2 linked regions of the Bombyx mori genome follow. Each later gene encodes a partner of the first gene's protein in a complex. Links are inferred from orthologs where the notes say so. Each region holds a gene or a part of one and is shown in the gene's direction. Other genes may lie near its edges.

Evidence for each region.
Region 2: ribosome biogenesis regulatory protein homolog (region 1) and ribosome production factor 2 homolog share a complex: the UniProt entries of both Homo sapiens proteins name them as parts of the hexameric 5S RNP precursor complex. The link is inferred for Bombyx mori from reciprocal best matches to the Homo sapiens genes RRS1 and RPF2.

Annotation. Positions count from the first base shown.
Region 1 is NC_085123.1:3,059,046-3,063,366, forward strand, and holds ribosome biogenesis regulatory protein homolog, read left to right. Parts: upstream 1-1,269; 5' UTR 1,270-1,673; coding exon 1,674-1,822; intron 1,823-1,946; coding exon 1,947-2,219; intron 2,220-2,450; coding exon 2,451-2,670; intron 2,671-3,053; coding exon 3,054-3,316; intron 3,317-3,441; coding exon 3,442-3,595; 3' UTR 3,596-3,648; downstream 3,649-4,321. Other genes in the region: DNA excision repair protein ERCC-6, read right to left, coding at 1-134. UniProt on the Homo sapiens protein: Involved in ribosomal large subunit assembly. May regulate the localization of the 5S RNP/5S ribonucleoprotein particle to the nucleolus.
Region 2 is NC_085129.1:7,278,327-7,282,631, forward strand, and holds the start of ribosome production factor 2 homolog, read left to right. Parts: upstream 1-1,420; 5' UTR 1,421-1,924; coding exon 1,925-1,947; intron 1,948-2,029; coding exon 2,030-2,245; intron 2,246-3,355; coding exon 3,356-3,629; intron 3,630-3,949; coding exon 3,950-4,091; intron 4,092-4,226; coding exon 4,227-4,305. UniProt on the Homo sapiens protein: Involved in ribosomal large subunit assembly. May regulate the localization of the 5S RNP/5S ribonucleoprotein particle to the nucleolus.

The DNA of each region.
Region 1 (4,321 bases):
GCCTGTTTTTGCGATATGTAATCAGCAGCAGATTTGCTTTTAGTTGATACATCTTCTTTCTGACTATTTTTCCTCTCAATTTGCTTTTTCGCTAATTCAAGTTGCATTTCTAAATATTTGTTTATGTCCACCATTTGGGTTAGTTTTAGTTCTTGACATTGAAATTCAGTTTATTTAGGTAATGTATTTATTGCTTTTTGTACACAATAATAAACTAAACTCAAATATTAAGTGTTTAATCTTTAATTTAACAAGTTAATCTTACTTAATCTTAAGTTAACAAATCCTACGAGCATTAGAATAATTAAAACATTTATTTTAATTGAAAATGTCAGTTAAGCGATATTTTTCTTTTTTTAGAGTTTATAATGCTACGCTAGTTACGCTACAATTTAAGTGTATAATCTATGGCTACAATCATAGAGCTAGAGTTGAACTTATTAACTCCATGGCTAATATGGCTATAGTACGGTATTCCTTCCTACTCTGCGTCAAGTCGGCTCTACACTCGCGGCGCGAACGCGACAACTGCGAATTCACGAGTGTAGATGTTGTTCACGCCTTCTCGTTCGCGCGTCGCTCCCCGATCTGTGTCGGTTTTATGGCCCGCGACAAAGGGTTTGCGGCACGCGAACGTGAATGTATCCACACTCGCAGCTTACCGCAGTAGCGTACAGGACATCGTAGAGTGGTTATGCGTGCGTTGGTGATTGATCCTAATATAAATGGTGGAATAATGATCTGGAACTGACTCTCATTTATTGCCATAAACCTAAGCCGAAACATCAAGACCACAAAAATGAGAATAAGGTTCATGATGCCTGGACACGCATAAGTGCTATCTTAAATACACCTGTAACTGAGTCAGAGTTAAAGAAAAATAAAGAATCACTTAAGTCGAGCTATAGATTGTATAGAAAGAAAGTGAAGTGTATGTAGAATACACAGCAGCAGCAGAAATCACGTCGTCGTCGATCATAATCGCGAACAAGGCTGAGCTGTGAAGCTTTGTGAGTGTGGAGGGACACAGTTCTGGCGCAGATCATGGTGTTTCTTCACAGTGCGACGTCATACGCGAGTGTTGAGGCAGAGTTACAGATTATTAAAAAGTTACTATGTAACGTTTATGTTTATGTCTTATCTATCATTAAACCTTGGTAGAGGGCTATGCATAATACATTTCGTTTATACTTTATATCACTATACCTGTTCCTGTTTGGACATGCTCCATAATCTTCATTTATTAACTCGCTGGTGATACAAAGGGAACGAAGCCCCTACACCTTTTAGTTACTGTACAGTACAGTGATGCGCGGTAATAGAACTGAATACATAAATATTTATAGATTATAAAATAAAAATGAACTTGAGTTCCATCGTTTCAATATATATGTATGTACATAAAAATTCTAAAATAATTATTCTACGTGCATAGATTATCTACTACAATAAGCTACCAATATGATGACATGTGTTAAATATTTATTATCTATGCCAGAGTTCAAAACGTGGTTGCCCAGAAAACTACGAAATCATAAATATATGTAATTAAATTGTAAAAAAAAAATACATTTTGAGGTTATTTTTCAACAAAAGTAAAGCAAGGAAAATATTAGCTCAAGTCAAATAAGCTTGTTAATTCTAATGTGTAAAAAGGAAGTGTTCTGATAACAATGGATATTGTAAATGAGATATTAGAAAGGGAACAAAAGAAAGCAGATAAATATAAACCAATAACGGTCGAAAAACATTTGGAATTAGAATTCGACCTAGGTTCACTATTGGCCTCTGACACAAACGATTTGGACATAAAAACGCTGAAGTAAGTCTTCATCTTATCTCATTTTAGCAAACGCATAGTCACTATTAATTTCAGGATTAAACATAAATTTAGTTAACAGCACATGTTTTGTTATCAAATTAAATTGATTTTATGTGTTGTTTAGGACAAACAAAGATTCATATTTACTTGCATTGACCCGTGACAATGCTCAGCTACTACTGAATAAAGTATGGGAGCTTCCCACTGAAAGAATCGAAGAGGCCATAGTAGTTCGATTGCCACAACCTACGACAATCCTACCCCGAGCCAAGCCAGTGCCTGTACCTAAGCCATTAACTAAATGGCAAGAGTTCGCAAAAGCCAAGGGTATTAATAAGAAAAAGAAAGACAAACTTCAATGGGATGAACAGCTGCAGAAATGGGTTCCTTTATATGGGTGAGTTTTCAATAGTAGAATAATGAAAGTTGTCTAGAAAACTATAAACACAAACCATAAAAACCTTATTTACAAAAGTTTTTAGGCAGAAATTAAAAATTGATATCATCATTTTAAAATCTGTATTTTATAGTCAAACCAATAGCCAGGATGTTGTAAAACACATTGTCCGTTTATTATTGTCGGCAATCAACTATATCTATAATTGACTATATAATTCTGTATCATCAGTTTCAAGAAAACTGCAGCTGAAAAAGAGAAGAACTGGCTTATAGAAGTCCCACAGAATTTAGATCCTATGACAGATATGTATGAAAAGAAAGCCGGTGAAAAATCAGAAAAGGTTGCAAAGAATGAATTACAGAGACTTAAGAATCTCGCTAGAGCCAAAAAGGTTAAAATACCAAGGGTGGGGCTTCCTGTCACTTCAGATAAAGCTTCTGCCACACAGGTAGGATCAAGTAGAAAAATATATATTGTACTGAATTATAATTTTTCCTTTTTCAGTTTCAAATTAGACATCTTATACAATGATAATAGTATACTTTAATAAATACATGTCTAATTCAATGAAAGGACAATTTTCCTTTTTCTATTCTAGATGATCTCAAAGTAGCATACCTGATCTTTCTTACAGCCAAGCAGCATTTGCTGTTTGTAATTAAGTTAGAATTAGATATACTACAACTTTTTAACTGTTGCAATTTTATTGCTAAACTATTACATTCATCTTGTTTTGCTTATCCATTACATTATTGTTTAAAGATAATAATTTAAATGATTTTATAAATATATGAATGCATAAATCTACAATTATTTTTCATAATTTTCCAGTTATCCACAGCAGCAAGTGTAGCAAAAGCATCAACGGCTTCTCTTGGAAAATTCCAAGATAAATTACCCAAAGAGAAAGAAGCACGCGGTAAAGGTGTACATGAGCTAATCCCAGGCAAGGAGAGGAAACGTAAAGCACCTATACCAACACCGGCAGCAGAAAAAGAATACAACCTGAATCTACTTGATAATATACTGAGTAAGAGGCCAAAAATTGATATGGATAAAGCTGTAGCGAAAAGTATAAATGAAGAGGAAGTCAAGTAAGTAAATTATTTTTATTTTATTGTAAATTTGAAAATGATATAATCAGAATTTTTTTTTTAAAGTTTTTATTTTATTACTTCGAAGTAAATGAGCTGATTTCTATTGTTTGTATTATCATTAGGAGATCACACGAAAAGAAAAATATGAAACCCGGCTTAGGAAAACGTAAAACTCAAGGTAAAGGCAATGCAACAAATTTCTCAGCCAAGAAACCTAAAGCAGGAAAGGGAAAAAGGGCACCAAATAAGAAATCTACTGGACGGAAAAGGAGATAGAACTATGATATAAGCCTTACAGAATGTATTACTAATAAAAACTAAAATACTGACACTTGTTTTTTTGTTTTCCTTAACTATTAATAAAACCCTTAAAAATGAGGCGTTCATTGTTTTAAATCGAAAAATATGTTTGGTTTTGAACGTAACAAGAGTGAAGTCGTCGTGGCCTAAAAGAACAAGGTGTCTCCAATACTCTCGTATCGAGTGATTCTCGTCGAAACTGTCGCTTGCGGCGCAGGGCTAGGCGAGTAAATTAACCCACAGACACAAGTCACAGAGTTTCTCGTCGGATCTTTTCGCGTCGCGGGTCGTTTCCGGGTCGCGTTTCCGATCCGGCGGTAGGTTCTGCGAAGCACTGTTCTGCACTGAGTGATGCGACTATGCCAGTGTTCGAGTCCCGCAGGCATGTACAAATTTTTCTGATGAAATAGTTACGTACTAACCTAACAAATGTTCATGAATGCTTCACGATGAAGGAATATCATCGTGTAATAAAAATGAAACCAGTTTGTGTAATTACTGGTGTGAGGCCGTCTTGTAAGCCCGCACGGGTAGGTATCACCATCCTACCTTGGTTTGGAAGGTAGGGTAGCCGTTGTACTTAAAAATTGAGACTTCGAATACATGTCCAAGGTGGGTGACCGCATTTACATGCGTAATGTCTATGAGCTCCGGTGACCACTTAACACCGGGTGGGCCGTGAGTCCATCCATCCAACTTAGC
Region 2 (4,305 bases), on another chromosome or scaffold:
CAACACTTCTGGTTTGAGCCCTGTGAGCTCACCTACACGTTATTAAGGCAAAGCTGAAATACAAAATCGTTTTTGCGGCTGAGATAAGCGGCGTCAGGCTTTTTTAAATCATAGATATCCTTTAGTAGCTTTCTTGTCCTTTCTGACGGGTTGCGGCCTTGAAGGAAGATACTTTGTTTAGGACCTTCAATGGGCTTAGGTTCTTTCGATAGTAGAACCTTTTTTCCTTTACGAGTTGTAGGTTTCCTAAAAAAAATTTACTACTGTAAAATGATGCAAGTTATTGTGAAGAATAAGTAATGTTCATGCTAGTGTTGAAGAAAAGTACTTTATTCTTTGTAGCACAGGCAGTTTGTTTACATGAAATTAGGAGTGGGCGATATAAATCGTATCTAGATTCAATATCTATATATCGCAGCAATATCGTTGAATCCGATATCGCCCCGCACGAAATCTATATATCGATATCGGCTGATACACGATATTGCTCGATGTGATGCGCATCGGCATATCGTACCGATTCGTGAATCGAAATCTATATAACGATATCAGCCGATACACGATATTACTCGATGTGATGCGCATCGGCATATCGTACCGATTCGTGAATATCAGCAATATTCGTTTGGTTCGTATCGAATCGGTCAGAGTGAGTGAGCGCACGATAGGGATATCATGTGATGAATGAAACAGAAACAGGCATTATCCATACAATTGTAAACCTTATATTTAAGTCCATATGTCTGTAGATTATTCTTAGCGTATCAGCAGGATACAATTTAGGAAAGAAGTTTCAATTTTCGACCCTAACTTGAATGCAGTATAGCCTATTTGCATCGTTGAATTTAATTTCACGCGCTTTGACCTTGAACTACAATTTTTGGACAAGTGTTTATAAATACTTAAAAGTTTTTTGTGTTTGATTTTTAAAGTACACATTTTTCTATTTTTAGTTGAATCCAAATAACTGAGTTTATTTCTTGTGTTTGTATTAAACTTTTGAAATCTACACTCTTTTGATATATTTTGTAATTTTAAATTAAGATACAAAATACTAAAAACTGAAAAAAATGTAGCCAGTCCTAAGTCTGATAAAAGCATGAAGGAAAGTTTTTTTGATATTTTTATTTTCATGTTCTTTTTATTACTTTAAAATCATATTATAAATTGATATCAGAAAACCAACCGTATAACGTTGACTTAAATCTATATCTACTACGATATTATATCAGCGTATCGTTTCAAATCTCAAATATCATGAATCGAGAAAATCTACTAGCATCCATCAATATATAGATTCAGAAAATATATAGATTCAATATCCGATATTGATACTCGATATATAGATACGATTCGATACGCGGTTAAACCGATATTACCCACTCCTACATGAAATCTCAAAAACACAACGAGATGCACACTTTTTCTTAGTTGTCAACTCAAACACACAATAAAAAAAAACACAGAGTCAATCAAATCACACAATATTAACAATTATCACAATGATCAATATTATATAGACAGTTGTCGAAACTTATCCAAATAAGTATATATTTAAAATTATTTTTTTCTATTATTTGTGGTTTCATTCTATTTTCTTGTTGTATTTAATTGCACTCTAAAAATCAAATTCGATTTTCTACTATTTGATGTCGATTCAGAGATCTTTTTCGATGAAATAATCGATCTTTTGTGGTAAATTCTTATTAACTCCATGGGTAAATTGAACTTAATCGGCATCTCTAATTTCGTTCTTAAGCATAGATGATACACCGTGATACACTTCATAAATTTCATAGACCTATATAGTAATAAATTCACACTTCAATCATTTATTATCTGTGATCACAATTTTCACGTGTTTGAGTTGACAACTAAGAAAAGTGTGCATCTCGTTGTGTTTTTGAGATTTCATGTAAACAAAATGCCTGTGCTACAAAGAATAAAGTACTTTTCTTCAACACTAGCATGAACATTACTTATTCTTCACAATAACTTGCATCATTTTACAGTAGTAAATTTTTTTTAGGAAACCTACAACTCGTAAAGGAAAAAAGGTTCTACTATCGAAAGAACCTAAGCCCATTGAAGGTCCTAAACAAAGTATCTTCCTTCAAGGCCGCAACCCGTCAGAAAGGACAAGAAAGCTACTAAAGGATATCTATGATTTAAAAAAGCCTGACGCCGCTTATCTCAGCCGCAAAAACGATTTTGTCCCATTTGAAGACAGTAGTTTGATTGAGAAGTAAGTTATTTTGCATTTTATACAAGTGAATGTATATTAAACTAAAGTAGCTTAGCTCCCTGTTCTCGTATCTTGCTAGGTAGGATCAGTATTAAAATTTTAACTAAGTTTTTGAACTCTTCAGAGCATACCTACATCGTTGCTTTATACTAGTTATATAGGTTATGGCAGTTATTTCGTTATTTAATAGCATTTATAATAATTTCGATGCACTTTGCTACATTGTCATTTTAAATTTTATCGACATAAAATTTCCTTAGTAAATTATTTATGAATCTCCAAGTTGTTTATTTTTAGAGCTCTTATTTCTATGAATAGCCACATATAAAATGTAATATAGATTGATTTTAAACCAAACATTTTCATTCAAGCATCAGTAATTGAACGGTCGAATGACTACTTGAACGGTCGAAGGTCACTTGAACATCTTATATAAGAACGGTCAATTACTATTCGTTCTGTTTCGTCTTTTTGTATGTCTGTCTTTTCAGAAGTCAAAAAATGTACTGCCTCGCTGCTGGTCACGTACGCCCTCGTTCCATTTATTTTTGAATTATTTTCAAATGTCTGTCTTAGTCTGTCTATGTCTAGTCATTATAGGTTTTATGTCTTGTCAATGAGATTGCACGCCACGACAGTAATAAAAAATTGTTTTAAAAATTGGATTAAAAAGTTCCAATTTAAAGAGTTTACTTAGTGATTTAAACATATATTTGTTAAAATTATTTTCTTAAAATTTGTTCATATGATCCCTATATATAATATTGAAATAATTGCTCTTTAATTAATGTAAAAGAAAGTTTTCAGTCATTGTTATTTGGATTTAAATGGCGATATTCATTAAGTCTGATTCTGAAAAGTTTGGAAATGCTACACTGTAATGACAATCAAAACTACGTACATGTTATATTCTCATTATTCTGATTTTCATTATATTTTTGTACAAACTGTAACATATTCAAAACACCAGATATAATATATTCACAATAAAAAATATGAGATTAAATCATAAAAGTAGTTGTAATAATGTCTACGACTCGTGAAAAGTGAACTAAATATTATAAAAACATAGTAAAAGTAGTCTTATACTTTCGATTGTCTGCTTTATAGGTTATGTTACAAAAAAGAGGCGGCTCTGTTTGGTGTTGGTTCACACAGCAAGAAGCGCCCCCACAACATTGTTTTGGGTAGAACTTTTGATTATGGAATATTGGATATGATTGAACTTGGTACTGAAGAATACAAGGCAATGTCAGAATTTCACAATATAAAAGTCCTGGCTGGTTCTAAACCATGTTTATTGTTTAATGGACCTGCTTGGGAGCTAAACCAGGATTTAACACGATTGAAGTCACTGTTCTCTGATTTCTTTCACAGAGAAAAGGTAAAAAATAATATTGGAAAATTAATAAAATCATTTTTTCATGAATGTCAAATAAAGGAAGGATTTATTACAGTATCAGTAATTGAATTCAAATGTTATGTTGTTAAAATGTTATACCAGTACAGCATATCTTTAAAAATTATAATAATTAAGCAATTATAATACAATTTAATAACTATAAGTGCTTTGTTGGTACTTCATATAATTAATTAGTAATACCAAATTAATTTCCCACCTATCATTAAATTACTATATTTTATTTCTATAGTAATAAAAATTGACAATTAATGTAAAAATAAATGGTATTTATATTTTCATAGGTGGAAACCATTAGATTGCAGGGATTAGAACATGTCCTCAGTTTCACGGCTACTGATGATGGCTTGATCTACTTCAGATCGTACAGAATATCACTTAAGAAAAGTGGCCAGAGAACACCCAGAGTGGAGTTGGAAGAAATAGGTAACAATCGTTGTTGAAATCACAGTTCAAGTGAATAAATATTCACAAGCTTGTCATTTTGCATATTTTGTATGATTGTTGACGGAATCATTTTCTTATCAGCAAACTGAATAAAAAATTTTTTGGCAACTGCAGGTCCGTCAATTGATTTCAAATTAAGAAGAACTAAGTTAGCGTCTGACGATCTCTACAAGGAAGCTTGTAAAATACCGAG